Canis lupus familiaris: one gene and its partners. The protein of the gene in region 3 purifies or fractionates together with the protein of the main gene of each other region. This does not show direct contact. Links are inferred from orthologs where the notes say so. Each region holds a gene or a part of one and is shown on either strand. Other genes may lie near its edges. The genes, in order: NIPSNAP2, NUDCD3, KLHL22 and EMC7.

The links.
Region 1: the proteins of KLHL22 (region 3) and NIPSNAP2 purify together in Homo sapiens (co-immunoprecipitation; 3 studies listed by BioGRID and IntAct, counting the BioPlex papers as one, with this or other methods). This does not show direct contact. The link is inferred for Canis lupus familiaris from reciprocal best matches to the Homo sapiens genes KLHL22 and NIPSNAP2.
Region 2: the proteins of KLHL22 (region 3) and NUDCD3 purify together in Homo sapiens (co-immunoprecipitation; 3 studies listed by BioGRID and IntAct, counting the BioPlex papers as one, with this or other methods). This does not show direct contact. The link is inferred for Canis lupus familiaris from reciprocal best matches to the Homo sapiens genes KLHL22 and NUDCD3.
Region 4: the proteins of KLHL22 (region 3) and EMC7 purify together in Homo sapiens (co-immunoprecipitation; 3 studies listed by BioGRID and IntAct, counting the BioPlex papers as one, with this or other methods). This does not show direct contact. The link is inferred for Canis lupus familiaris from reciprocal best matches to the Homo sapiens genes KLHL22 and EMC7.

Annotation. Positions count from the first base shown.
Region 1 is NC_049227.1:361,078-368,883, reverse strand, and holds the start of NIPSNAP2 (protein NipSnap homolog 2), read right to left. Parts: upstream 4,966-7,806; 5' UTR 4,902-4,965; coding exon 4,810-4,901; intron 4,472-4,809; exon of another isoform or gene 4,347-4,471; coding exon of another isoform or gene 4,339-4,346; intron 1-4,338. UniProt on the Homo sapiens protein: Protein involved in mitophagy by facilitating recruitment of the autophagy machinery required for clearance of damaged mitochondria.
Region 2 is NC_049237.1:14,199,356-14,206,644, reverse strand, and holds part of NUDCD3 (nudC domain-containing protein 3), read right to left. Parts: intron 4,177-7,289; coding exon 4,044-4,176; intron 1-4,043.
Region 3 is NC_049247.1:30,433,425-30,440,713, forward strand, and holds part of KLHL22 (kelch-like protein 22), read right to left. Parts: intron 5,421-7,289; coding exon 5,255-5,420; intron 2,669-5,254; coding exon 1,950-2,668; intron 1-1,949. UniProt on the Homo sapiens protein: Substrate-specific adapter of a BCR (BTB-CUL3-RBX1) E3 ubiquitin ligase complex required for chromosome alignment and localization of PLK1 at kinetochores.
Region 4 is NC_049251.1:1,220,671-1,228,600, forward strand, and holds the start of EMC7 (ER membrane protein complex subunit 7), read left to right. Parts: upstream 1-2,921; 5' UTR 2,922-3,015; coding exon 3,016-3,248; intron 3,249-7,092; coding exon 7,093-7,212; intron 7,213-7,930. UniProt on the Homo sapiens protein: Part of the endoplasmic reticulum membrane protein complex (EMC) that enables the energy-independent insertion into endoplasmic reticulum membranes of newly synthesized membrane proteins.

The DNA of each region.
Region 1 (7,806 bases), on a different chromosome or scaffold from region 3:
GCCAAGCACTGGGCCAGGCTGTGGATATAAAGATGAATATCCTTGGCCCTGACTTCACAGAGCTCAGTTTGCTGGTGGGAGCAGAAAGACAACCAAGATCACAGCCCAACGTGAGATAAGCTCCTCAATGGACACAGAAGGTAGTGGCTGTGCTGGGTGGGGGCGGAGGAAACGGAGTCTAAGTTGGCCTGGGGGAGACATGAACCAATTCTCTGAAAGAAGCACATGTTGAACTGAAAACTTGAAAGATGAGGAGCACTTGTCAGGTGGATGCCCATGAGAGGAAGCAGAACCATACCTGCCAAAGCCAGGAGTATGTGAATATAGCTGGAGGTGAGGGGGAGAGAGGCAGCTGCATGAAAGAAGTCATTATGTGACTCTCCTCCTCACCACCAACCCTCCTGCTACCCCAACAAACCTGCTCTCCACAGTGCAGCTTCAGAGAGCTATCCCCTTTTATTTTTAAAAATTGTACGAAGCGGCGCCAGGATGGCTCAGTTGGTTAAGCATCTGCCTTCAGCTCAGGTCATGATCTCAGGGTCCTGGGATTGAGCCCCACGTTGGGCTCCCTGCTCAGTGGGAGGTCTGCTTCTCCCTCCTCCCCCCCACTCAAATAAATAAACTCTTAAAAAAAAAAAAAACTTCACAAAGACAAAGGAACAGTATAATAAAGACTTCTATATCCTGCATGTAGGTGAAAAAAGTGACATTTTATCATTTAAAATTTTCTATATAGATTTGCTTCTTTATTTTTACCAAACTATTTGAAAGCAGAGTATAGACATGACAGTACTTTATCCCTAAATACTTCAGCATGCACCTCCTGAGAATGAAGACAAAACCATGGTACGATGCTCACATCTGAGGAAAAGAATAATTCTAATGTCCCCTTCATACATTAAACTATCTCCAGTTGTTTCCAAACTGTTATAAGTTTTCCTTGGCAAGGGTGGGATGGGATGGGAAAGAAAAGGGAGCAGTACCCAGCCCAGGTTTATGTACTGGACATCTTCCTATAGGAAAAAGTTCTGCTCAGAATTCTTTAGTTGCCCCCTTCACCAACAGCTTCAAGTCCTCACTCTTCATGGGACTCCAGACAAGTGTTGCCAAGAGTTAGGCAAGGGAACCAGGGAGATGGTGAGAGAGAAGGCAGAGCCAAGACATGCTGGAGGTAGAACTGACAGATCTGGCAAGTGTCTAGCTGGGAGATGGTGGGCCTGGGGCCACGAAATGGAAGACGGGCCAGTACTTGAGAGAGAACCCAGGAAGAACAGGCAGGTTCTGTAGGAGGCAGATGAGTTAAATTCTGGGTACAGTAAGCATCTCAAGCAGGACATTAGTGTAATGTCCACGAAGCAAATGCAACTCCAGGCCTGTCACTGAGCAGAGCTAGGTAAGCGGTGCTAGCATATATCTCCTGGGAAGACAGCATCCTTCCCTTCTGAAATCCCTCTTGCAAGGTCACACACGGATCCCTGCGGGCAAATCCAGTCTTCTGTCATCTTTACTTTTTAGCAACATCTGGCACAGCTGGCCACCACCTCGTTGAAATACCTCCCTTTGGGCACTGCCACAAACAGCAACCTCATTGGCTTTCCCACATTCCCCTTGCTCCCTCTCCTTCCTACATTTAGCCTGTGAAAGTTGTTTTAATTTCATTCAATTGTAGTACTGGTTTCAAAAGTAGAATTAAGTGATTCATCACTTACATATAACATACAGTGCTCATCCCAACAAGTGCCCTCCTTAATGCCCATCCCTTTTTGTTCTCCATATCTGAGTCTTTTATGGTTTGCCTGTTTGTATCTCATTTTATTTTTTCTTCCCTGTTTTGTGACTTAAATTGTACATATGACTGAAATCATATTTGTCTTTCTCTGACTTATTTTGCTTACAATAATACACGCCAGTTCCATGTTGCAAGTGGCAAGATTTCATTCTTTATGATCACTAATATTCCAGTGTACATATATACCACATCTTCTTTATCTATTCATTGGTGGACAGACATCTGGGCTCTTTCCATAATGTGGCTAGCCTGTGGAGGTTGACATCTCAAAGCCTGTTTCTCAGCCCTTTCTCTTTTTTTTTTTTTTTTAAATTCTTATATGCTGGTCTTTATTTTTTTTTTTTAAGATTTTATTTATTATTTATGATAGTCACACGGAGAGGGGGAGAGGGGGAGAGAGAGAGAGAGAGAGAGAGAGGCAGAGATACAGGCAGAGGGAGAAGCAGGCTCCATGCACCGGGAGCCCGACGTGGGATTCGATCCCGGGTCTCCAGGATCGCGCCCTGGGCCAAAGGCAGGCGCCAAACCGCTGCGCCACCCAGGGATCCCTCTCAGCCCTTTCTCTATCCACACTCTTCAAGCAATCTCATCCATTCCTATGAATAATGTTTTGTTAAGAAGATTTTCAATTAAATGCAAAACAGTATAACAAAACCTACATATCTATCAACATTTAGCATTCCTATATACTGACAACTCCCAAATGTAACCTGTAGTCCAGACATCTCCTTTGAAGAGTCAAAAAGATCAAATAGGCCAAATACCTTTCCATTTGAATAGCTCACAGCCATCTCCAACTTTACCAGGTTCAGAAGTGCTCTGGATTCCCCCTTCCTGTTCTTCCTTCTCTGAATTAGGAGCAAGCTCCCAGATGGCAACAACTTTATTCACTGATATTTCCCAACAGCACCTGGCACATTATGGGCACTCATATGCCTATAGAACAAGGGACTTTCAGGAAATGGCACCAGCATCTGCCCAGTTGGCCACGACCCTTGATTCTGTCTGCTTTCCAAATCAGACTGGTATGTTAAAAACACAGGCCAGATCCTGTCACACTAGAATTTATATCTTTAAATGTCTTCCATGGCTTTCAGTATAAATTCCAAACTCTCTAAAATGGCTTGCAAGGCCTGGAATTATGGGGCTACTGCTCCCTGCCACCTGTCTTCTAGCCTCTCTTCCCTTTACTATGCTCCCCTTCCTAGGCTTTTCTGGAGCTTGCTGGTATGCCTCACTCCTTCCCAGTCAGGGCTTTCCTGCACACTGACCCTTCAGGTTTCAGCTCAACGGCACCTTCTTGGAGAGGCCTTCCATGATTTCATGTGGTAGGTTCCCTGAGGTTCTCTCACACCACCTACCTCAATCTTTAAGTCTGTATGGGTTTTTACCTCTGCCATATGGCTTGCTGGGCATAGTGACCCATAGTGACTATTATGCTGAGTTCCACAAAACTTCAAAAACATATACATTCATATACATTCAGTATTTGTAGAAGCAGTGAATTAATTGGGTCTAGACTGAGTCCTAAAGAACATCTACAGTTAAGGCAGTCAAAAGATACAAGGGGCCTGAGAGAGTAATCCAAGAGCTGACATGTTGGGCTTCAGTTTCAAGAGCATTTGGCCCCACAAGAAGTGGGGGTACTGGGCAGACCCAGGTCCAAATCTCCAGTTTACTAGTTTTGTGACTATGGGATCTATAGGTGAATATGCTGGGTCTTTTTGGAAAAAAGAAAATATGAATTTCATAGTTTCTTATCACCTGTGTGAAAAAAAATAAGACACACAGCAGATGCTCAGTAACAGAATGAAAATAAAAGGTTGATTTGTTCATCAACTTGGAAACATAAACATCAAATTTGGAAACACAAGGGGGATCCCTGGGTGGCTCCGCGGTTTGGCGCCTGCCTTTGGCCCAGGGCGCGATCCTGGAGACCCGGGATCGAGTCCCGCATCAGGCTCCTGGCATGGAGCCTGCTTCTCCCTCCTCCTGTGTCTCTGCCTGCCTCTCTCTCTCTGTGTCTATCATAAATAAATAAATCTTTAAAAAAAAAGTTGGAAACTCAAGCTGGACATCAGTCCTAGGAAGGGTGCCAGGCCTGAAGCCTGATAAACTTGAGTTCAAATGCCTTTTCCAGCTAGAGGTCTCACCTCCATGGAGATTACGTCTCATCTATAAAATGCAGATCCTGTTACTTAAGATTGGTACTAGGATTAAATTAAATAAACTCTCTGGCCCATAATAAGAGTTTAAAGAACAGGCAGTCCCTTTACTCTTTCGTTAAGCAGCAACTGAATTTAGTTCTAGAGGCTCGTTATTAAACCACAGATAACGTTTAAATGATAAATGTAAAGAAAGCAAGAAAGCAAATCTATGTAAGTCAGTAGGAGCTTGGTTTTTGATGGAAAACAGGACATGGATGTGTCAGAGGGATGAATTCAGGAGAGCCGAATATTTAATCCACAGAGGCTAGAAAAAGTTTAAAGTTGAACCCAAGGCCTACTTGGGGCTGATGCCTTGTAAAACCTTTCTGATCCGTCACCTACTTCTCCATCCCACTCCGGCGGCCGGCAGCGTCGAGCCCACCCCGCGACGGCCCCGCGCTCCCGGGGCTCACCGGCAGGCGCTCTTCTTCCCCCTGGAGCTCGTGCTGTCCGCAGCGCCCTCGCAGAGCGGACCCCAGGCCCTGCGCACAGCCCGCCCTGGGCGCCCGCGGGCAGCCGGATGCCGAGTCCAGGGCCTGGGGTCGCGCCGGGTCAAGGTCCCCCAGGCCAGGCCCACACGGCGCGCGGACGTGGCCTGGGCACCGGGCGCCGTCCCCGCCGTGACCTTGAGCACGACGGCCGGGACCGCGCTCTGACTGTGCCGAGGCCCTCAGCCGCCCCGCCCGCCCGGCCCGGCCCGGCCCCCGCTGCCCCGGCGGGCCTGCTCGAGGGAGCGCTAGCGGGCCGTGGACCCGCGCCCTCCGCCCTGGCGGCCACTCCCCGGCCGGTCCCGGGAGGGGCAGCGCTGCTCACCGGAGCGCAGGCTGCAGGCTGCAGGGAGCGGCCCGCCGCAGGACGCCGCCGGCCCAGGCCGCTCCGCAGGCCTGCACGACTCGCGCCGCCATCTTGCTCTGGCGCCTGGGCTCCCGCCGCGCGGGCCGCCGCTGACGCCGCCGACGCCGCCGCCGCCCCACGGCCACCACCGCGACCCCTCCCCCGGCCGGCCCGCCGAGGCGGGGGTGGGGCGGAGGGCGGGGCCCGCCGAGCGGGGCGGGGCGGGGCGGGGCCGCCGGGGTGAGGGCGGGGCCGCCAGGGGCAACTGACGGCGAAGCAGGAGAGGACATCGCCCCCTGCGGAAGAAGCTGGGTGTCGTGACCCGCCTGCGCAGGAGAAATATGAGCAGACGTTACTGTACAGTACCGGCCCGGCTCAGCGGTTTAGCGTGGCCTTCGGCCCAGGGCCTGATCCTGGGTCCTGGGATCGAGTCCCACGTCAGGCTCCCGGCATGGAGCCAGCTTCTCCCTCTGCCTGTGTCTCTGCCTGTGTCTCTCATGAATAAATAAATAAGATCTTAAAACAAACAAACAAAAAAAACAAAAAAAAAAACGTTCTGGATTGTTTGTTGCTTGGGTGCTGAGTTTGATAAGTCCAGTTATGAAATGAGCAGAAGATATGAACAAAAATTTCTCTAAAGACATACACATGGCCAACAAGCACATGAGAAAATGCTCCGCATTGCTTTTTATTAGGGAAATACAAATCGAAACCACAATGAGATACCACCTCACACCAGTGAGAATGACGAAAATAACAAGACAGGAAACAACAAATGTTGGAGAGGATGTGGAGAAGGGGAATCTTCTTGCACTGTAGGTGGGAATGTGAACTGGTGCAGCCACTCTGGAAAACTGTGTGGAGGTTCCTCAGAGTTAAAAATAGTTACCCTACACCCAGCAATTGCACTGCTGGGAATTTACCCCAAAGATACGGATGTAGTGAAACCCAGGACACCTGCACCCAATGTTCATAGCAGCAACGTCCACAACAGCCAAACCGTGTAAGGAGCTTGATGTCCTTCGACAGATGAATGGATAAAGAAGATATGCTATATGTATACAATGGAATATTACTCAGACATCAGAAAGGATGAATACCTACCATTTGATTCGACGTGGATGGAACTGGAGGGTATTATGCTGAGTGAAGTAAGTCAATCGAAGAAGGACAAACATCATATGGTTTCACTTATATGGGGAATATAAGAAATAGTGAAAGGGATTATAAGGGAAAGGAGGGGAACTGAGTGCGAAAAATCAGAGAGGGAGACAAACCATGAGAGACTCCTAACTCTGGGAAACAAAGGGTTGCAGAAGGGGAGGTGGATGGGAATAATGGGATAACTGTGTCGCAGGCACTAAGGAGGGCACTTGATGGGATGAGCACTGGTGTTATATGTTGGCAAATTGAATTTAAATTAAAAAGAATCATTCTGGATGTAAAGATATTCAAGTTATCTTGTGGTCTGGGGACTACATTGTTCCCGTTCATCCCAAGCCTGGTTGGTGCTGCCGCCCCCATCTGTTAGGGCAGGATATAAACCAACAACTGGCCGAGTGTGTCAGGTGTTGGCAGAAAGAGGCTCACAAGAGGCAACATGAGAGAGGGCACTGAGGGGACACGAGTTGACCCATGGAAGGGAGGGCATCTCAGGCCAAGAAGTAGGTCATGATGGCACGATTTATGGAAAATGTATCCTGGGTAAGATAAAAGCCACAAATGTAACCTTGAAAGCTGCAACCAAGACAAGTTAGGCAGAAAGGGAGTCAGTGAGAGAAGGGGGAGAAACAGGGAATAGGCCCCAGCTGAGGGGAGCATTTGGAGGGCAGTCCAAATCTGCGGAGGCCAAGAGGAAACTGCCCTCAGGACTGCGAAGCTGGGATGTCTCTGTGATCCAGGCAGGCCTCTGCCTAAGAGGGGTGGGGGCAGGAGCTGGGCTTCCTGGAGGCAAAGGCAGCATTGGAGTTTTCTGACTGGAGGACTATTTGAACATGTTAATAATGTCAGGGAGCCACCATGGAGGACATAAAGGGTCCGGTGGATGGAGGAGTGGCAAGGATTTGCTCCAGACCGGGGACATACATATCTCTTGGAGGCCATTGGAAAAAAGACCAAGGGACACAGGACAAGAGACCAGAGGCTGTGTGGCTGAGCGGGTTCCTGATCTCAACTGGCTTATGCTTAGTGAGCTGGTTAAGAAACCCAGATAGACAGGGCAGCCCCGATGGCCCAGCGGTTTGCCATTGCCTTCAGCCCGGGGTATGATCCTGGAGACCCTGGATCCACCCCTCGTCAGGCTCCCTGCATGGAGCCTGCTTCTCCCCTCTGCCTGTGTGCCTCTCTCTGTCTGTCATAAATAAATAAAATCTTGAAAGAAAGAAAGAAAGAAAGAAAGAAAGAAAGAAAGAAAGAAAGAAAGAAAGAAAGAAAGAAAGAAAGAAAAGAAAAGAAAAGAAAAGAAAAAAAAAGCAAAGCTGTTAGACCCAAAAGGGAGGCCAAAATGAGCTTTCCCCAGAGCAGAAAGGATATGTCCCAATCCTCCACTGCAGGAAGCAAGCTTCTTCAAGCCAGTGATGTCGGTGTACCCTTTGTGACTTTCTCACACATTCTCCCAACTTCCCAGCTATTTTTTAAGAGACCAATGCTTTAAAATATATTTTCCTGAAAAAAAAATTTTTTTTCCTGAGATGTAAGCTTGGTAAATATTTCTTGATGTTGCTTTTGTGCTACTTAGAATTAGGCCACTTACTCTGCATTTTTCCCTCCACTATCCTCTTGCTCTGGAGGACCATTAACCCAATGCTTTTTACTGGTGGGGCGGGGGATGGGGAAGTACTCTTATCTCACAGGTGTACAGCTTAGGTTACTCAATGCCACTAAAGAAATACAGGGCATATTCCTGGAACATAATTTTTACACCAAGATTATTAGGAAAAATATCTTAAGATATTAAAAAAGAGTATATATAAGCAT
Region 2 (7,289 bases), on a different chromosome or scaffold from region 3:
ACTGGGGACACGGCAGCCAATGCCAGAGACCAGAACCGCCATGGGGTAGCCAGGGTGGGAATGGTATGGGAACGCGCCACTGTGCTGACGGTGGGCTCTGACAGTACACACGCATACTCCATGATGCACGCGGACGTCCGCCAGGATAGCTCAGCAGCAGGTACACGATGCCGAGGCTAGGCAGGGGCTGGTGGAGGACAAGAGGACAGAGGCAGGATGGAGACTTTCTGCCACCCGCATTCACCCTCCTGGGAGCCCAATGTCCTGAGCACTCCCAACTCTGTCAGAAGCAGATATGGAGCCCAGGAGCCTTCTCTGTCCCTGGGACCCCCTCCTACATTTGTTCTGAACATCTTCGAAGAAGAGAACTCCATAGCACGCAGCTTTCAGACAAACTCCACCAGCTGCAGCAAGCTCAGGGGCTGGGCACTGCTGTACAAGACATGCTCAGAAGCCTTGGTGCTGTTCCGGAAGGTTCCTGCAGTGAAGACACGGACAGTGAGGCACAGCTGTGAGCCCACCAGCCAGCAGGACCTCGTCCCTTAGCGAAGACCACACAACTCTGGCAGGAACCAGCACGTCAAGGAGGAAAGGAATCTGCGCGTCCCTCAACACACTCAGCCAGGACCCTGCAACAAATCTCATGACACGTGCCACCTGAAAGGCACCGTCTGATGGGGCTGGGGCAGGGCTGGGTCCTGGTCTCTGCCTGGCGGCCTCAGCAGCTTACAGCTGTGGCTTTCATCCACAAGATGACAGGTTAGGACTAACAGTGTCTGGAGTGCCAGGTTCCAGCCCTGAAATCCTACTTTTCAACAAAATGCCAGGTTCCTGAGCAGCCCTGGCAGACACTGCAACCGCCCCAGTGCTTCCGCGGTGAGCGTGCCACCCCTGCTCCCTGCTCCACGTCTGCACGGCGGCCAGGACGGGGAGCCAGGCGGTGGTCCCGGCAGAGCGCACGGAGCCGGGCGCTGGGCACAGTTCACGCACACGTGGGACCAGAGCTTCACCTTGAGGGTTTCTGATTCACCTGCAAAATGATAAACTAGAAAAAGGCTGCATGGAAAGTACAGACACTTGCACATCACACATTATGCACATGCTCCGTCCTGTCCTCTGCCACACTTGACAGTCTGTTTCTACAAAAAGTCAGCCAGGAGAGGCAATGCTCTGGAGTCCCCGGTGGGAGACTCGGGGTGCAGGAGCCCTCCCACAGCTACCCGCAGCCCACTGCCCCCACACCCCAACGGGGACTTCCACACTGAGCTGCCACCACCACAGCTATCAGCACGACGATATCTGACAGGTGCCACAGACGAGGCCCAGAAATAAACACTGCTGACAGGGAGCTATGACAGGCACCCCAGGGGAGAGCCGGAGGGAGCCAGTCCAGAGAGAAGGCGCAACTCTGAGGGAAAAAGCCCTTAGACCAGCAAAAGCCAAGAGACACGAAATACATCTATTCCAAAGTTTGAAGTTAGTCACGGCTGAAACTCCTAGATCACTAAAAACATGAGAGACCCCAGAGTTTTAAGAGAAGGAAGAACACATACTGTGGGGTTACTAAGTGAGTCCTAAGTTCTCACCACAAGAGGCACCCCTTGGAGGGAGGTGACAGGCGTTCCCCAGACCTAACGCAGACCAGGAGCAAGTTGCCGCATTGGGCATCTGAAGCTGGTACATCAACTGCACTTTTTTTTTTTTAATTTTTTATTTATTTATGATAGGCACACAGTGAGAGAGAGAGAGGCAGAGACACAGGCAGAGGGAGAAGCAGGCTCCATGCACCGGGAGCCCGACGTGGGATTCGATCCCGGGTCTCCAGGATCGCGCCCTGGGCCAAAGGCAGGCGTTAAACCGCTGCGCCACCCAGGGATCCCTCAACTGCACTTTAATTACCAAACAAAACGAAACAGTAATGTAAACAAAAAATACTACCAAAGGCAAAGGCCCTCCCCTCAGGTCGGCGACGCAGCCCAGCTGACAGGAGCATAGGAGCATGGCTGGCAGGCGCCACAACCAACGCAGCCAGGTTGACAGGAGCATGCCGGCAGGCGCCACAAGCCTGCGCTCACGGGGACCACGGCTCTCCCGGCTCCCGTGCTCCCTGCAGCCCATCCGCCCGTGGGGACCGAGCAAGCCCCTCTCCATCACTGCTCCTGGTGCGGCCACAGGACTGAGGGCCGGAGGGCCGGGAGGACGCGGCCAGGTGGGGCCTGAGGCAGCACAGCACTCGCCGGGGGGCTGCGCGGCGCAAGCCCGCGGACTGCCAGCCCAGAGCAGCAGTCCTGGCCCAGCCTCGGGAACCCTCGCATCCTCAGGAGAGGTCCCGGGCGGCGAACCCTAGGGCTGCCCTCAGTGAAAGTGAGGACCTGTCCCCGAGGTTGCGACGCCCCATGTGAGAGGCATGGATGTGACCCCGAGGTACAACGGCCTGTGCCTCAGGCGATGCGCTGAGGGGCAGCAGGACCTTGTAATCCAGTGCCCATGGCCGAGCAGAGCGCATTCAGGCAGCGACAGCAGGAGAGGCATGTCACTGGGTCCCCAGAGTCAGAGAGAAAATAACTAGTTTAGGCCGAGCTGGACGCAAGTCCTTTGGGAGAAAGCTCCAGAAGATGACGGGTCAGTCAGACAGAGAGCAGACCAGGGAGCTGTGACGATCTTCAGCAGTGTCCACAGCCACCGCTGCACAGAGTTCCCTCACCCGCACAGGGCAGTCCCACCACAACAGGAGTCCCACCCACAGCCGCTCTGCATGAGCCCCAAGATGCCTGCATGGGACCCCCAGGAGGGTTGGCCTGCACCAGCCGCCCTTGACCACCAGCACCAGAGGGGCCGCGGTCACCTGAGCCAGACCTTGGGACGAGCCCTCGCCACCGGGTCTGACTGGGGTCCCAAAGTCGGCCTGACGAGGGACCCCTGAGCCTTGGTGAGATCTCCTCAGACAGGACAGGAAGGGAGGGGACGGGAGACGGGCAGCCACGCCCGACAGCCAGTCGCAGCCCCACGGAGCCGCGAGGCCCGTGCCAGGTTAGGCCGCCCTTGGGGGCGGCTGGCGCCAGCCAGGCCCTGAATACAGGGGCGCCTGTCCTGGAGGAGCCCGGGCAGCCTGGGCCGGCCTGGAGACAGGGGCCTGGAGGGCTCCCCGCTGCCCAGCCCGCCTCACCCATGACCGGATCTGCAGGGCCCGGCACCACCTCACACGGGGCTCATTTCCAGAGAACGCCGGTGCCCCTCACGCACGAGATCCTGCTCCCGCGCTTTGGGCCTTCTCTGGGAAGGCTGCCTGCAGCGCGGCTCTCGGAGCAGCAGGAGCATCGCAGGCTCAGGCCCCTGCGCCCGGCCCGGCTGCACACAGCCATCGGCCCCCAGACCCAGTCTGGGCGCGGTGGGAGCGGGGGGCCGCGGCAGTCCCCGTGTCACCAGAGGACGAGCAAGCCCTCAGCGCACCCTCGCCCTCAGAACATGGAAGGTGCTGCATGCTCTGCGGCTCCGGGCCCCTGGGAAGCCGATAGCCAGGACGCGGTGTATGGTGGGGGAATTCTAATAAAGTGATGTCCCGTTTCACAGACCACAGGGTTTCCTTTAAAGTGAAGCCTCCCTACTTGTGACACCCTGCAACAATGGCGCTCTGCGCGCGGCTCCTGAGGAAACCTCTCTATGCTGCTGAAAGATTCAACTTCCGCTCGCGCTCCGGGAGATGGGGAGAGCGACTGGAGCTGTGAGCGCCCCCACCCCACCGGCCATGACCCCGCCCCACGCGGGAGCTCAGAGCCTGGGCGCCCACGTGCACCTGACCTGCTTATGGAAGAGGCCTCCGGCCGCCCCGCCTCCCCTGCGGTGTCCTGTGCGGACACCCGGCCACGCACCACAGGATGACATGGGACAGATCCAGCACCCACCAGGTGCGCCCGAGCGCAACAGCAGGCTGGCGGGGCGCGGCCGTGGCTGCAGGGGGACGCGGAGACCGGCCCAGCGGCTCCAGCACAGCCCACCCCCAACCCCGCGTGTGGAGACCCCAGCCTAGGGAGCCCCGTGGTTACCTGCCTGCCCTTCACCACGTGCTTCGGCACCGGCACCTTGAGCTCCAGGTCGGTGTAGTCCTGAGACCAGGTGTAGTTCTCACGCACAGCACCATTGTAGCTGTCAGGGTTTCTCTGGAACTGTTCCTGCCTCCTGGGGAAGAGCGATAGGTGAGATGGCACCTGGGCCCACACGCGAGGGACCACGACCCCATCACATGCTGGGCCCCCCACAACTGATTGGGCCACAGGCCCCCCGGCCACACACGTGGGCCCCCTCACAACACACGCTTGTGCCGCCCACCATGCACCCAGCTCCCCCATGCACCCAGGCCCACACAGCTGATTGGGTCACAGGCCCCCCACCGCACACCTGGGTCCCCCACCGTACACCCATGCACGCCCCCATGCGGGAGTCCTGACCACAGATGGTCTCCAGCTCCTGAGAAGTTCCACCTAAGTCTCAGGCCTCCCAGGAAACCACGGGGACACAGGGACACTCTGTAGAGCCCCTAAGCGCTGTACCCTCAGCTTGGGGGGCAGCGTCCACAGCTGCGGCCCACAGCATAGCTGGGCCTACCAGACTTCACCAGGCTCAGAAAGCAGGCCAGTCCCTCAACCACAGGACCTCGGTCATAAAGACCCAAGGCTCCTGCTTTCTCACAAATTGCTCGGCAAGGCCTGTCTTCACAAAAACGTAGACCAACTTCAGCCACAACTTCTCAGCTTGCACCCTAACCCAACCACAATTCCAGCTTTCTCCTGGTAAATACTGCACTGCACACCAAACCACAGGCTCTAAGAGGTGAGTAGCATGCCTGGAAATCCACCAGCCACACCCCACTAACTGCGGGGCCAGCCCGGCACAGAGGCAGACAGGCCTGGCCAAGCAATGTTACAAGTAAAATACTGCAAAACATTTGCTGTTAAACGTCAGGCTGCTGCTAAGAGCATAAATAGCATTATAAAAATAAGTGTGGACTCACAAACCCACTATGGGGAATTTTACAACTAAATTAAAGACAGGGGACGCCTGGGGTGGCTCAGTGGTTGAGCATCTGCATTTGGCCCAGGGTGCGATCCTGGGATCCGGGATCGAGTTCCCCATCGAGCTCCCTGCATGGAGCCTGCATCTTCCCTCTGCCTGTGTCTCTGCCTCTCTCTGTGTCTCTCATGAACAAATAAAATCTTCAAAAAAAAAAATTAATTAAAGACAGAAGCCCAGTCGTGGAGGAGGACATACTAACAAGTGCAGCTTGGCCGCCTTCTCCAGCCCTTAGGGAGCCCCATGAACACACCCATGGGGAGACCCGGCCTGCTGTGTGTCTTCATGTGTACAGATGAAGATGCACACACCCCATCAGCCCCCAATCTCGGATGAGAACAGTTTAACTCCTGTAGGTACGCCTCACACGCTTTCTATGTGAGACTGGGTGTTCATCACAGTCCAACCCTTGGGGCTAGTAACTGGCTGCCATCAAGGGCTGAAGTGTGATACCCCAAATTCTGTTATCCTAACCTCCAGCAGCACCTCAGAACGCCTTATTTCAAAGTTAAAATGAGGTCGTCGGGGGCCCTGATCCACTCGGTGTCCTTCTCAAGGGGGAGACCGGGACGCGAAGATGCACACAGAGGGATGATGCTGCGAGCACCACCATGCAGCTGCGGGCCACGGAGGTGAGGGCTGTCCGCCTCTGCAGAAGCTCAAAGGGGCCAGGAGGGCCCTACCCAGTCTGGAAGGGAGCTCGAAAGACAGCCCCACAGAGTAGGGTGGAAGAGGCAGGAGAGGTCAAGGCAGGGCATCCCGGGCAGGGCCACCACAGTACATACCTGTGCACAGCTCTGTGCACAGCTCTGAGCACGGCCCCCAGGCCCGTTCCCTAAAAAGAAATGCACACGTGCGTGTACGTGTCCAGGCACAAGCCTGGTGAGTGTCTGTGGGGTTTCTGGGTGGTGGAGTCAGAGCAGTTTGCTTCTCTTCTCTGTACCTTTAGCCATTACTCAATTTTGCCCCAAAATGGACATCTGATCAAGAGAAAAAACAGCTCTTCAAGACAGGAGATGGCAATCTGTGCCATGGCCCCACAACTGGGAGCTCTCCCATGACCATACCAGCTTGCTCACACCTTGACACCTGAAGCAAGCCCAGGGAGACCAGACCAGCACAGCAGGACAGGGTGGCCAGGACCTGCACCTGCATCCCCTACCCGCTTGAGCAGCCAGTGAAGCTTTAAAGCTCACAGCAGATGGACAAGCTCCAGCAAACCCGACCAGCATGGAGCCAGGAGACTCAGCCTAACTGCACGGCCTTTAAAAATGTGCATATTAACTACCTGAAATCATCAAAGCTATAGGAACACAAAAATAAACATACAAAATAAAGGCCAACGTGGCTGGCGCTTGGCACAAATCCAGAAATAAACCTCAAGACCTCTCACAGTGGAGGGATGGCTATGTCCCACACACTGCACTGAGCCCCTATCAGCCGGTGTCCACACACAACCATAATGCACAGCAGATGCCACGAGGCCACATCTGCTCGAGGGGCCACCCTGCGCCTGTGGAGCTGTGCCGAAGGAGCTGTCCCGGAGCTGGGTGCTTACAGAGGAGCTCTGGTCACACTGCAGTGCGGGGCGGGGCAGCTAGGCAGGCACTGGGCTGGCTCACCCCGAGTGGACCCTGCAGCCTCCTCCCCACAGAGCCAGGCACACTGCTGGGTGCTTTTTTTTAACACTTGGAATCCACATTCTCTTTAAATAAAGTTGGTTATTTCCAGCCAACAATGTGTAAAAATAAGCCTCCTGTCATGTGCAGGTGCTCTGGGCCCCCTCGCTTTGTCATCCCTGACAGGCCTGTAGCCACACCCCTGCAGCTGCCAGGGAGTACACTGGGGGTGGGGGGGAGCATGAGTCAGCAGCCAGGCCTCCCTGCAGCGCCCACGTCTGAAGAGGCCATCAGGCCCATGGCAGGGTTCTGATCGCATTAAAGGAAAAGCCAGGCCAGGCTCCGGAGGCTAGTGCGGGTGGCCCCAGCCAGCCCCACCTTGCACAGGTGGGAACTCTGCTCAGCCCACCCCTCCCTCCCTCCCTCCCTCCATGGCCCTGTGCCTGGCAGGAACTGAAGGGCCTCCTGCCTTCCCCAGTTCAGAACAGCAGTGGCCAGGATGAAAAGTGGTGGGTGAAGGGGTCACAGCCCAACCTAAATGCTTCTGTGCAGAAGGCTTGACTGCACATGGGGCATGGGAACGGTGTATTACAGGGAGCCACG
Region 3 (7,289 bases):
TAACAGAGGTGACCACCTCTTGGGGCCCAGAGGGCAGAAGCGGCTACGGCCCTCTCCTCATGGTCACTGGTCACTAGGTCACTACGCTCACTTCTGAGAGGCAGAGGCAGAGGCAGGCCAGACTCCACCCCCACCCCCAAAGACGGAAACGTGAACGTGGGTCAGTACCTAACTCACAGCCATAGAAGCAGCTGGCAAAATCTCTCTTTGCGGTGCCAGCTTTCTTTCAGCTTGCAGATTTGCCACATGCGCCAAATCCCATGAAATCAAACCAAATACAGTAGCAGGGCCCCGGACACCTAATGGTAGCGGAGGCTGTGGAGACCTGCCCTGATTACTTTGTTCTGCCCCCCAAAATGGATTTCTGGGATCACAGCTCCATAGACTGACAGAGCTAGAAGCAGCCTACAGACCAGGACAGTCCACAAAATCCCCTCTCTTGGGTTCCTGGACTCAATTCCGATGTATGTGTTGGGGCAGGGGGCATGACATTTTCTCCACACTGATAAGCAATTCTCGGGACACCGACTAAGTGTTCTACAAGTCGACTCAATTCCAACACTATCTACCTGGAGGTAGCATCAGACCCCACAGGTTGAGGGCTCAGTCCACAAGATGGTACCGCCCCATCCTGCCTGTCTCCGCTTCAGACGCTAGTAATAAGCCCAGGCTATTATCTATGCTTCTGACCTACCAGTTAATAACATGAGGTTCCAATGACCCCCTCCAGCTCAAAATGCCAATTACAAGCACCAAGCTGTGCCTTTGACTGACTAGCTATAAATCAGAGGTTTCTAAGATCCCCCTTTCTTTGGGTTTCATTAATCTGCTAGAGTAGCTCACAGAACTCAGAGAAACATTACACTTACTAGATTAACTGTTTATTGTAAAAAGATATAAATCAGGAATACTCAGGAAGAGATGCACAGAGCAAGGTCTGGGGAAAGGGCAGGGAGATTCCAAGCTCTCTCCAGGCCCGTGCATCACTCTCCCAGCACCTCTAACTAGGTGGTCACCAACCCTGAAACTCTCCCAACCCTCTCCTTTTGGGTTTTGATGAAAACTTCACTACATAGGCACTGATTGATTAAATCACTGGCCCTTCTCTGAATGGCAGGGTTGGTTCTCCCGGTGACCATCCCCCACTCACACTCAGGGGCTTCCAAAGCCACCTCATTAACATAACAAAAGACAAAATTAGTGTTCTCCTTTTATGAAATTCCAAGGGGGGTTTTGGAAGCTATGAACCAGGACCTATAAAGACCTAACATACAGAAAAGCACATAGAGTACATCACAGTAAGCCCCACCTTCTTGGAAAACTGCCTGCTCAGAGGACCTTGGGGGACCCCATGCCTGGCAACACCCCTGACACCAGGGCAGGCAGGGGTAGTGAAATCTGGTTCAGTGATGCCTGTTGGTTTTTTGGGCTCCCTGGACAGAGGACCATATACTACAAAATAGGGAGGGAGGACAGGAAGCCATCCTCACCAGGGGCTTGTGGTTAAGAGAGCTGATGGGCAAATGGAGCCCGGGATGAGACATATCAAAGCTGGAGAGGGCAAGATGGAAGGAGCAGCTGCCTGCCCAGTGCTCCTGGCAACTAGGTCCCCTCCTTCTGAGGCGGAGCCCTGTGCCCAGCCACTCCAAGGCACAGTCACTCACAACCTATCTCCTCACCCACGGACAGCAGGGGTGACCTATGGTAAGTGGGTTTGAGAAGAGGAAAAGAGTGAAAGCAAGCATGCACAGTCTCCTCTTCCTTGCCTCATCACAGCCTGCACTCTCCAAATTAACCTCGACTTTAACCCCAACAAGCCACAAGATTAATTTAAAAGGCTAGTGCCTCAGCCCTCGCAGAGCCCACTCCACAAGCAGCCTCCTGAGCCCATGGCTCCCGCACCACAGGGTCACCCACAGCCCAAGTCTCAGCCAAGCACTCCCGCCTACCTCCAGCACCGGGACTCGGCACGGAAGCCCTGCACATTGTTGTCCCCTCCAATCAGGTACACAAAGTTGTTGAGCACCGCGATGCCCTGGTTGGACATGCGGGGGGCCAGGGAGGCGGTGAAGTGCTTCCACTCTCCCAGCAGGGGGTTCAGGTACTTGGCTTGGTCACTGAGGACAGTGGATGGCGTGGAGTGAATGCCCCCAAAGCCCACGACGCACTGGAAGTCCGACCGCAGCTCCGTCTGAGGGCCCTGCAGGCTGGGCTGCAGGCTCTCGTTGCGGTGGTACATGAGGGCATTGGCCACCGTGTCCCTCAGCGGGCTGGGGTCCAGCTTATCGTGCAGCCGCTGGAGGACCTCAGCTTCCATCAGGGGAAAACGTACTGTCTCAAGGAGCTTGGGGGGCTCGTGCAGTGAGATCTGGTCAGCCTGTACCTGCTCCAGGGTGTAATGGTAGAGCAGGGCACCCTCATATACCTCGGTCTCACAGGAGACCTCCAGGCGGTTACTGCTGAGGAGGGAGTAGACCTTCTCCAGGGGAAGCTGGCGGTACTTGTCAGTCCGTGAGAAGGCCACAAAGTTTTTGAGGATGTAGGTGTCCAGCTGCTCAGTCAGACGGCTCAAGTCAAATAGCTCCGCCAGCCGGTAAACATCAAGGATGTTCTCTTCATCCACCCAGGACATGAGGAAATCACAGCAGAAATGAATGATTTCCGGGATCTGTGAAGAGAACAAGCCCCGCTCAAGCCCAGGCTGGGAAGAATGTGTCTGGGTGAGGGAGCCTGAGGCTAACAGCAGACACACAGCTGTTGGCTACAGCAGGCCCCCCTCCACCACCCCTGTCCTTCCCTGGCACGGCTGCTTTCCCCCAACTGAAGAGGTGACTGGGGCTCACTGCAGACTGACTGGGTTTAAAACCAGGCTTCGAAGCGACCTGTGAGTCGCTTTTTTTAACTGCTCTGAGCCTCAGTTTCCTCCTCTGTAAGTGGAGAGGAATAAATTTGAAGATGAGACTGCACCCCAAAGTATCTGGCATGGAGTGGACCCTTTCAGATCAAAAGAAGTGAATCTTCAGAGAATCAGGAAGCAGCACAGTGGCCACATCAGCCACCCTGGTTTGGATGGCACCTGAGACCTGTGCCTGCCCCTCTGCAGGCTCTCTACAAGATATCCAGCTCTCTTCTCCTGCCACAACCCCCACAATTGCAGATTGAGCCAAAGCTGCAGGCCCAGGGATCCCACCCCAGGAGAAGGATCCTGAACCACCCACGAGCTAAGAACTGCCAGCAGGGTGTTTCAGATGCTCGCCCAGCACTCTTCCTGGCAACATCAGACAGTTCTTGAAAGGCTGGAAGCCATCCTGCCTGGGGAAAGGCCTGCATGACTCTGGCTAGCACAGGGGTTCCAGGTGACATTTGCCTTCTTCCAATTGTGCAGAAAAACCAGTGAGTTGGAAGAAGGGCAAGACAGAAGGGTGCCGAGGCGGGAGATGAGAAGTGAGCCCCGGGCTTAGAGGTTATCCCATGATTAGACAATCAGAGCATGGCAGGGTGAAGGAGGCAGAGAGGAGGGCTCTAGGGAAAGCTGCCCAGGCATTGCTAAGTTCTTTAGGAAAACAGGATTTTGAAAATGCACTAAAAATGAGAATGCCTCACTCATTACCAACAAATTAATCAGAACACACAGAGAATTCTGCTGGTGTGAGGCTTGTTAATAAACATTTAAAATCTCTTTATCTTTATTTTTTTCTCATTCCAAAGATACTCTATGCTTGCCAGGTCATAAGCTAGGAAGGACTGAATGGAAACCTGTAAAGTGCCAGGCATGCGTCTGTCTGCCCCACATGGAACGTCCCCATAGTGCTGTTAGGTCCTGAAAGTCTTGACTACCCATTTCTTCCTCGATAGGCACTTCTGCTTTGCCTCTTCTTCCTAAAATACTTCTGATCTGTCATGGGCCAGGACACTGAGGGCCAGGTTCTGGGTAGAAAGTGACAGCAAACAGTCCTCAGTGGGCATGACAAGCAGCTCCTGAAGAACTGCTTCGTGTCACTCTCTTCTTCCCATCCTCATTGTCACAGCAGTGGGCCCTCTGCTGGGGAAGCTCACAAGGAATCACCCCAGGCCTGCCCAGTGCAGGAACCCCATTAAAGGCTCAGAGAAATGAACCCTTGCTGGGGGTTACCCAGTGGTGACAGTCTTGCTGGGATTCAGATCCAGGTCCTGGGGACACCACAAACAGTCTACTGATCCTAAGCTAGTTCAAAGCACAGCACGTGGGGAGCATGTAATCAATGGCTACACAAACGTGACCATGATAGGGCCTATGGACTTGCAACTGGTAAGGAGGGGCTCCTTCATCCCATGCTATCCACACAATAGCCTCAGAAATATTAGCTAAAGTGCTCAGAAGCACTGTCTCAACTCCATCTACTCATTGCATATGGTGAGCCAACCCAACAAGCACAGGCCAAGGGCCTCCCACCTGCCCATTTGAGAGCGACAGTGCAGGGAACTGCTGGGGCTCTCCCATATAGTGTGGGACCTCCAGACACCCTTGAACAGGTTGGTTTTCCTGACATATTTTTTCTGGCCCCAAATGTGTTCTGACCTGAAAAAAGGTCAGGATAATGAATTCGGCATAGCATTTCATTTCCACTTTCAACAAATGTAAAATGAGAAGTCTCTCTAGTCAGGTGAGGCTATCTGACAACAGCTACTGAAAGCAAAAGGCACGTGCAGGCCCAGCCCTCATGTGGCTGCACCAGCACCACTGAGGTAATACAGCCTTCTAAAACGTAGGTCACACTGCCAAAGCCTCAGAAGACTTCCTGAGTTCTATAGAAGAACAAGCATCCAACATTCAATGACAAAAAAGAAAGTAGTTTCAAAGAGATGGATGAAGTCAAGTTGGGTGGATGAGCAGAAAGGACTTGGGAACTGTGGGAGAAGTTCAGCTTCATTAGACACTGGGGCATGCAGGACATCACACACCTGCCTCGGGGTCAGCCCACATGTTTATGTGCAGGATCTTCTCAGGGGCGGGGACACCCAGGCAGAAGGAAAGGAACCAGCAGAAGAGCAGAAAGCAAAAGCAGAGGAGCCTGCCTGGAGGCATTTGGAGCAGCTATGCTTCAGTGCCCAGGGTTGGCTAAGCCATGCACCACCCAAGAGCCTCTGCCACCTGCAATCTCCTTTGCCACCTGGTATCCTTGCCTGCTGATCCCCCTCATGCCACTACCTGGCAGACACCTGGGGATCACCTCCTGGGTTTGGGTTTGCCTTGCTCCAGCGAGGGCAGCCTCACCTGCAGCTGGCAGGCGGCAACCAGCGTCTCCTGGACATTGCTCAGGCTGAGCTCCAACTCGGAGGTATAAATGAAATGCAGGATTTGGCACATGGCATTATAGGACACACCGTGGATCAGGACCTCTTCCTGCTCCATCTCCTTCAGTCCCCCAGCAAACATTCCTCTGCAAAGTAAAAACACAAAACAGCATTGTTCTATCAATCTAAATCAATCATAAGGGCACCTGGATGTCTCAGTCTGTTAAACATTCAACTCTTGATCTCAGCTCAGGTCTTGATCTCAGGGTCATGGGTTTAAGCCCCATGTCGGGCAAATCTGTATCAATTAGGACACCAAAGTGAGAGGGAGCTGGGGGCAGGCTGACCCAGCAGTGATGTGCAACAGAACACTGGTGTGTGTTCTGAGAACTGAGTCTTGCCACGGAAGGTGCCCACAAGCTCCTGACCAAGTTTGGACAGCTATCCTAGAAATCACCATCTGTGTTTCATGTGTTGCAGGGTGTTGCACGTGAGCCTCTTGGAGTCAAGGACATCTGGCTTGTTCTCTGGTACATCCATCTATATGCTTCCTGGATCACAGCAGCAGCCCAGAGCATGTCAGGAATGAATAAATGGATGAATGAATAAATGAATGAAAGGAAAACATGTAACACAAGTCACTCCACTCCAAATATATTAACTGAGCTCCTAACTAAACGCCAAGTACCATTCAGAGTCAGAGGAGTAACAGTCAAGGGACGCCTGGGTGGCTCAGTGGTTGAGCGTCTGCCTTCAGCTCAGGGCCTGATCCCGGTGTCCCGGGATCACGTCCCGCATCAGGCTCCCTGCATGGAGCCTGCTTCTCCCTCTGCCTGTGTCTCTGCCTCTCTCTGTCACTCTTATGAATAAATAAATAAAATCTTAAAAAAAAGGAGTAACAGTCAAGTAAAGTGGTAAGATTCCTACTTATGTAGAGTGTGATGCTAGGAAGGAGGACAAGAACAAGGTACTTCTGAGTGAGGAAATGCTAGGAAAAAGCACAACAGGGCATCTAACCTAGGAGCACCCGGCTAGGAGAGGGGAGCAGCTGGAGAGTGATGAGGAGCAGGGACAGGCCGAGATGGAGGTGGGTGGCACCTCACCAGCCAGAGGAAGGCATTCCAGGTGGAGGAGACAGGAGCCCAAGTTCTGGGGCAGGGATGAGTTCAGTACCCAAGGCAGCCAGGCCAGTGCAAAGAGGAAGTGAGCAGGTGAGACAGGGCCACGTCTCTGCTTTCCCCAGGTCAAGACTGAGTCAGGATTGAAATCCAAGCATATTATGAAGCGCTGTTGGGGAATTTTACACAGGAGGCTGGTGTGAGCAGACTTTTCAGGCAAGAGGGTTCCTGCAGACCTGGGGAGGGCCTGGTGGCAGAAAGAACATGCTGAAGGACTGAATCTGGGAGAACACTGGAGGAACCAGGGCCCTTGGCTGGGTTAGCTGAGCTGACAGGGACTTGGGAGGAACAGGGTCAGAGAGTGAGGTCAGAGTCACCATCAGTGAGATACCTTGAGGCATCCCAGGTGAGCCAGTTAATAAGTTGTTCAGAGGGAAGAGGCTGGTTGTCAGGGGAGGCAGCAGGGCTGAAATATGACAGCCATGCATAGAGGACAACGTAGCTGTTTTTACATTTTATTTTTCCCTCCTCTGCTCTGCTCCAGGCCATCAGTTCAGTCCATGTACCTTATATTCTACATCACATCATAACAATGCATCTTGGAAATGGCTCCTTACTGGTACATGTAGGGCTGCCCCTCTTCTTGTAAAAACTATCATGGTTGATATAACCCGCTGCTATAATACACCTGGGTTTTGTTTTGTTTTTTTTTTTTTCCTTAGAGATGAAGAGGGAGACTCCTAAGCAGGCTCCCTGCTCAGCACAAAGCTTGACGTGGGGCTTGATCTCACAACCGAGATCATGACCTGAGCCAAAATCAAGAGTCGGACACTCAACTGACCAAGGCACTCAGGCACCCCCACCTGGATTACTTCTAATCTCCCATTATTGCACCTG
Region 4 (7,930 bases), on a different chromosome or scaffold from region 3:
TGTTAGTGTCTCTATTTAAAAAAGGTTTTCTATTTTTGTAATTTACATTGATAAAACATTTGTTATAAAAATATTGCAAAAAATCAGAAACATAACACCCTTTTATTTTTTTTTTATTTTTATTTTTTTAAATTTTATTTTTTTTATTTATTTATGATAGTCACACAGAGAGAGAGAGAGAGAGGCAGAGACACAGGCAGAGGGAGAAGCAGGCTCCATGCACCGGGAGCCTGACGTGGGATTCGATCCCGGGTCTCCAGGATCGCGCCCTGGGCCAAAGGCAGGCGCTAAACCGCTGCGCCACCCAGGGATCCCCATAACACCCTTTTAAAAAAGGAAATAAATACTACCTGTAAAACCCAGGCTCAACCTCTGCTGGTACAATCCAACATTTTAAGTGCCTTGTTGTTTTTTTTTTTAAGATTTATTTATTCATGAGAGACCCAGAGAGAGAGAGAGGCAGAGACACAGGCAGAGGGAGGAGTAGGCTCCACACAGGGAGCCCGACGCTGGACCCATCCCAGGTCTCCAGAATCACATCCTGGGCAGAAGGCCGGACTAAACTGCTGAGCCACCCGGTCTGCCCTAGTGTGGTTTTTTTGAGGGTTGTCTCTCTGTTCCTATCCTTGTTCACCCCCTTGTGGCCATGATATGAAGAAGCCAAGAGCTAGGCAGAAAAAAGAGAGGAGAAAGAGAAAACCAAAGGGCCTGGATAATAAACGGATCACCTCTCACTTTAACAGTATTTTCCATAATCAAGGTAAGTAAGTCTGTTCGAAATCTATATGGGTCAAGATCTTGACAGGAAATAATAGATGGAAGACTTGAAGGACTTATTGTAAATTATTCCTTCGTTGAACTTCTTCCAAGTATGGGCAGAAGTAAAGGAAACTGAAGTGTCCTCCATATACCTCCTCCAGAAGTCAAGGAACCAAGTTTTTGCAATCCTTCAAGATCCTGCCTTCTAAGGCACAAAGTAGAGTGAGGGGTAGAGTGCATCTGGCTGGACAAACAGAGTAGGTCCAGGACATAGTTTTTCTAAAATATTTCATTATAATTATACTTTCTTTTATAAGGCATGAGTTCAAGGGATACATTATGGAATTACTCTTGTATAATTTAGAGTTAGAAACCTATGCAGTTCCTACGGTTTGCTTGGCAAACACCAGCGGTCATAGAATTTCACACTACCAGAAAACATTCCTTAGTCTTCTCTATTCCAGCTGTGCCCATGGAGGTAGAAGCCTGGCATTCGAGGGGCTCAGATCATTAGATCCTTTGGCATTAGAGTGACAATAAGATAGGGGAACAAGGAGAAAGAAATTGAGAGCTCAGTTGCTGTTTGCTGCTGGTCCTCTTCCACATTGCCCCTCAAAAAAGTAAACTCCACCGCTCCTATATGGTATTAAGACCCACACTGGGGGCACCATGGGCTCAGTGGCTGAGCGTCTGCCTTCCGCCCAGGGCATGACCCCAGAGTCCCAGAATCCAGTCCTAGTCGGGCTCCCTGCATGGAGCCTGCTTCTCCCTCTGCCTGTGTCTCTGCGTCTGTGTCTCTCATGAATAAATAAAATCATTAAAAAAAAAAAGACCAACACTGATTACCTATTTTTTTAAATTTTTTTTAAATTTTTGTTTATTTATGATAGTCACAGAGAGAGAGAGAGGCAGAGACACAGGCAGAGGGAGAAGCAGGCTCCATGCACCGGGAGCCCGATGTGGGATTCGATCCCAGGTCTCCAGGATCGCGCCCTGGGCCAAAGGCAGGCGCCAAACCGCTGCGCCACCCAGGGATCCCCACTGATTACCTATTAATCAAATTAACATGTCTGAGACACCAGCAAAGCAGATCACCAAAAATATGTGAACATTTAGGGATGAAGCTATTTTTATTTTGGCATGTTTGTAAATTTTGTATCGTTCTTGAAAAGTGAAATTTTATTTCATGGTTTAGTACAGTTTTGACAGGAGGTGGTCGAGGGTAGGGCCATAACACATGATAACCTTTCTACAGTAGCTCTGCTTCTTCCAAGGATCAACTGTGAAGAAAGGGGGAAGTACCTCCGCCCGACAATTGCGGGCGCTCCCGAGGACAGAGCACGGGTGGCCGCGGATACCGCGTCTCTAACCCTTGCCAGGGGCTCAAGAGTATTTGGCTCTTCCATCCCTTTTCCCAATTTTTGTTACTTTTCTTCGGGAAGCTAAGTCTAAGAGTTCACAGAACAGAAACACGCATTTCGCTCGATAATCTTCAACAGAAATGTGTCATCGAGAGCACAACGTTTATAACCAACAGAAATCTTAGGCAGAAGCCTTTTCTCTTTCTGTCATCAAGAAGGTGAAAATACTGGAGATGCTCTCTGCCATCTTAGCTTGGTTCCCCCGACCCCCGCCGTTGTTTACGGTAAAGCCCTGAAAACCGGGATCGGTGTCGTGCGGGTAAGCGGCCTTCAACCCTCTCCCTTTTCACCGGAGGCGACCCTCAGTGAACAGTCTGTGTACCTGCCCCACTCTTCTAGGCACAGACGTCATCCCCTTCGCACACAAGCGGGAGCCTTTGCATCTCGCACGTCTCGGAGCATCCCTACAACTTTTTAAGCGCTCTCTTCCGGACCCGCGTCTCCTGAAGCCGGGGCCTCATCTGCAGACACCGGTTCAGAGGGTCGTCGCTCTCGGCCTCACAGCCTCCCATTCCGGCGCGGTCCCGCCGCCGCCGCCGCCGCCGCCGCCGCCGCGCACAGGGCCGCACTGCCGCTCGGTGGGTGGAGCGACGACGGGACGCACCGACCCTCGCCTCAGACCGCCTTCCGGCCCCGCGCGCCGGAAGTACTTTGCCCCATTTCCGCCTCGCAAGCGATTGGCGCAAGCCTCCTTCCCTTGGCTTGGAGCCCACAGCTCGAGCCGGCCCCCGCCTCTTGCGCGCAGTGATGACGACATCGGCCGGCGGCGGCGGCGAAGACTGGGGGACGGTTAGGGCTTCCTGGGCTGCAGGCCTGGCTGGTGCGAGCTGCTGTCATGGCGGCCGTGCAGTGGGGCTTCGTTTCCCTCCTCCTGTTGTTGCTCTCAGGGGATGCCCAGAGCTCGGAGCTGCCTGGGGCTGCTGCCGATGGGTCAGGCGGGATTGGGGTCGGCACAGGAGACCGCTTCAAGATTGAGGGACGTGCGGTTGTTCCAGGGGTGAAGCCCCAGGACTGGATCTCGGCGGCGCGAGTGCTGGTAGACGGAGAAGAGCATGTCGGATTTCTTAAGTGAGCCTCCTGTGGGCAGCGGGAAAGCGGTTGGCGTGGACGCTAGAGAGGAATTGCCCCTACGCGAGCCAAGTATCGGAGGGCGAAGGGGTGGGCGCCGGTAGCGGTCTGTGCGGGGAGACCTTGGGGGGCAGCCCCGCGCTTCCCCTTTCCTCCCCATCACCCCGTTTCCCCGTACCTCGGAAGCGAGGGTGGCAGGTGCTTGTCCCAGGGCGGAGCAGGGGGGGTCAGTTTTCTTCAACTCCGTTTTTGCCTTGTTACGGGGTCGACCACTCCAACCGCTGAGCCACCCAGGGGTCCCCGAATCTGGCCACTTTTGCATTCATTTCTGTCTTTTGGCAGCTTGATGTTGTGTAGAAATATGCTGAGCGAGTGGGAATTCTCAAAGCCCAAAGGATTTCTATGATGGCATAGACTGGGAGGCTAATGTTGCTGCTTCTGAAAATAATGGGCCCTGAAGTCCCTAATCAAAGCACCTTTTTTTTTTTTTGCCTGGAGGTGGGATTATTCTTTTTTTACAGTTGAATTCATCGAGGGATTTGCAACATTACATTTGGGGCATTTGTGTGAGACTGGGGTTTCTCCATATTTGCTAACATGGTTCAGTCTTTTCTAGCTCATTGTAAAAATGGGATTTCAACTTCTATTAAAGAACGTGGTGAATTTATTAGCACTCCAGTTTTGCAGTAACCTGCTTTTCAGATGTTTAGACACAACTGTGATGTTTTAAGTCTTTCATTCGCTGCTTGGGGTGTGAAACTGAACTGAAAGAAAATATTTAGGGCAGCTCCGATGGCCCCGGGGGGTGATCCTGGAGACCCGGGATCGAGTCCCACGTCGGGCTCCCTGCATGGAGCCTGCTTCTCCCTCTGCCTGTGTCTCGGCCTCTGTGTGTGTGTGTGTGTGTGTCTGTCGTGAATAAATAAATAATTTAAAAATATTTAGGGGGATGCCTGGGTGGCTCAGCGGTTGAGCGTCTGCCTTCAGCCCAGGGCGTGATCCTGGAGTCGTGGGATCGAGTCCCACATCGGGCTCCCTGCAGGGAGCCTGCTTCTCCCTCTGCTGTGTCTCTGCCTCTCTCTGTGTGTCTCGCATGAATAAATAAATAAAATCTTAAAAAAAATAAAAATATTTAGGAAAAAGTGTTTTCCTGACTGGTTTGTATACCAGCAAGTGGTATTTGAAAACCAGACATCGTAAATATGGATCTTTCTTTCTTTCTTTCTTTCTTTCTTTCTTTCTTTCTTTCTTTCTTTCTTTCTTTTTTGGACGTTTATTTCTAAATCTGATTTGCAAATATTCAGATCACCCGGGTGCTGTTGAATTAGAATTTGAATCTCAGATTAATAATGATGAGAAGCTAGTCTTTTTTTTTTTTTTAAGATTTTATTTACTTATTCATGAGAGCCATACACACACAGAGAGAGGCAGAGACACAGGCAGAGGGAGAAGCAGGCTCCACGCAGGGAGCCGCAGGTGGGACTTGATCCTAAGTCTCCAGGATCACTCCCTGGGGGAAGTCAGCGCTAAGCCGCTGAGCCATCTGTGCTGCCCGAGAAGCTAGTCTTAATGCTATTTGTTTTTACAAATCTGGCGTTAGGGCGTTCTTTAGGGTTTGCCTCTAATGATGTTTTAATGAAGAAACTCAAACCTTGGGAATTGGGGATCCCTGGGTGGCTCAGCAGTTTAGCGCCTGCCTTCAGCCCAGGGTGTGACCCTGGAGACTCGGGATCAAGTCCCACATCCGGCTTCCTGCATGGAGCCTGCTTCTCCCTCTGCCTGTGTCTCTGCCTCTCTGTGTCTCTCATGAATAAATAAATCTTTAAAAAAAAAAAAAAACATAAAGAAAACCTTGGGAAATTAGCCTAAACTGACCACTTGGCTTCTCTTTTCTGTGGTATATAATTCTTTTAAGAAGCATTTATAATTTTTGTTTTAAAATAAGGTATAAGTTATATGTTTGTTGAAGAAAACATAAACAAGAGGTAAGGGATAAGACAACATTTTATCGTATCCTTTCCAGCCTTTTTGTAATCATATGACCTGTTTTTAATAGTAAAATACAATATATAGTACTCTGTAGCCTTTTTTTTTTTTTCCACTTAATATCTTGTGAGCAGTTTATGACATCCTTTCATGTTCTGGCATTTGTATATAGAAATGTTAAGAATTAAAAAAAAAGAATATGAAGAGCTTATGGTGGGACTCTTGTTGGAAGAGGGATAGTAATTTGTCTTATACCTGTTATGCATAACTACAATGCCATTTTGACTTATAGTTCTGCTTGTTGAGGGTGGCTTGGGTCTTGGCTAATGGAGGTGAGGGTTTTGACTGAGGATGCTTCATGCCACTTCTTGCTCTCATCACTGTGTATATAAAGCATAATTTACACTCCAGAATAAATAATTCAAGGGAAGTCTAATGAAAGGATTAAACAGTGTAGTCATGGTGTTAGGGAAACAGCCAGGTTGTGCAGTACTCTGGAGTTTACAACCTCAAAGCCACTGTCACCTCTAAGCCTGAAGGAAGTAGGGGAAGTAAAGGTTACTGGGGCAGGAAAGGACTGCCGCAAGAGGAGCTCTGCCCTGTGATGGAGCAAGTCAGAGATGGCCTCTCAGGGAGAGAGCTGAGGAAAAATATGCTAAGCTCATTTTCTTTCCTTCCGGTCTGCAAAGAGGGAGGAAAAGGGTGGAGAGTGGGTCTGAAGGGCCAGTGAAGACCTCCAGCCCAGGAATAAGTTAGTTTGATGTTTACATTTCAATTCTGTTTTAGTTTAGTGTGTACTTTGAAGTAGCAAGGAGTATCTTTTCCTCCTGCTTCTTTGTAAGTATTGTGAATGTGGCAGAATCAGTTTTTTCTTTAGCTATGAAAGAGCCTAATGATTTAAGAAGCATTATTCAATGTATTATACTAGGACTTCTTTGATAAAACAGATTTTTTTAAAAAAGATTTTAGTATTCATGAGAGACGCACAGAGAGAGGCAGAGACACAGGCAGAGGGAGAAGCAGGCTCCATGTGGGACTTGATTCCAGGACCCCGGGATCACGCCCTGAGCTGAAGGCAGATGCTCAACCACTGAGCCACCCAGGTGTCCCTAAAGCAGATCTTTTTAGGATCATTTGTTTTCCTGAAACAGATACTTCTTTTTCTTCAGAAGGTCAGTTTCTCATTATCAAAACAAATTAATTTTGATTGTAAACCTGAGATTATCAACTCTTCGTGGGATGGTTTTCTAAGTCTAGAAGGTAATAGAGGAAATCGGGAAGAAAAGGCAAATGGTTTTAACCACATAAATCTATTAAACTTCTATATATCCAAACAAAAGTAACCAAAGTAGATGGGAACTATATGTAATATGTGGAACAAATGGTGTTTGATGACCTTTTTCTTAGAAAGACAACAAAATGCAAACAAAAACTAGGAAAAAGCCATTACATTTTAATTAAGGAATTGTTGCAGGAGGTTGGCAAAATTGAAACCTTAATATTGTAGTAATAATGCCTATTGATAATTTCCCTTGAATGAAGACATGGCTTCAGAATTGAAACAGTACCCTCTTTATCAGCTGTCCCACAGAAGGAATTAGAAGTGCTTTCTATGTCAGGATTCTCTGCTCCTGTGGAGTGCTCAGAGTTGTCAGAATCCTTTCAGTGTGATTGTGGAAGCTGAAGCATGGGGACAATTCTTGCCAGTTTGGGTGTTTTTTTTGTTTCTTGTTTTGTTTTTTCTAACTTCTGTGTCATTTGGAGGAGCTTGATTTAGGAGTTAACAGATGATTTAAAACATAAGAAGAAAGCAAGCTGTTGATCAGCAGTATCCAAATAATGATTTTCATTTTTCCAGGACAGATGGGAGTTTTGTGGTTCATGATATACCTTCTGGATCTTATGTAGTGGAAGTTATATCTCCAGCTTACAGATTTGATCCTGTCCGAGTCGATATCACTTCAAAAGGAAAAATGAGGTAAGAGCATCTGATTTAGTTTTTACAAAAGGCGAGGATACCAAATACCTCCTATATTGCTTTTAGAATTTATAGTTAGGGTTGAAAAGTTTCTCATGTAAACTACAGATATTCCATGAAACATCCTTACATTATCTTTAATATTAAGTTTTTCCCCTCTGCCACCTAAAATATCCTTATATTATTTTAATCTGAGTATTGGTAATATTGCAAAGTTGAACTTCCTCCTGCTCTGATTTAAAATTTATTTTAAAGCTCCTAATATGATTATAATAGAGAAGAGGCAAGATTACCTATCATGAGAGCAAAAACTCTGAGGGTTATAATTGCAATATGATTATTGAAGTGGGAAATAATTTAACTTTTCTAAATTAGAAATATTACTACCTGTTTTTCATTGGAGTATCTTGATAATACCTCTTAATACCTATTTAATAGTTGTATTGATCTAGAAATTTCTACAGTTCTTCCTTTCTGAAATATTTAGAGTACATTGGAAATTTAGTATTTTTTAGGCAAATGGTAGATTACATTGTTTAGTTTATCTCAAAGTAAGGATCGTGATAAGAAAAAAAGCACAGTATTAGAGGTTGGCAGACTAGGAAAAATTTCAAAATTTCTAAGTAGATGAACATATGCTTTGAAGTTTAGGTGAAAAGAATGCTGGACTAATTCAGGTTGTGAGTATGGAATATCACAAATCCGTTTGAAGTTGGAA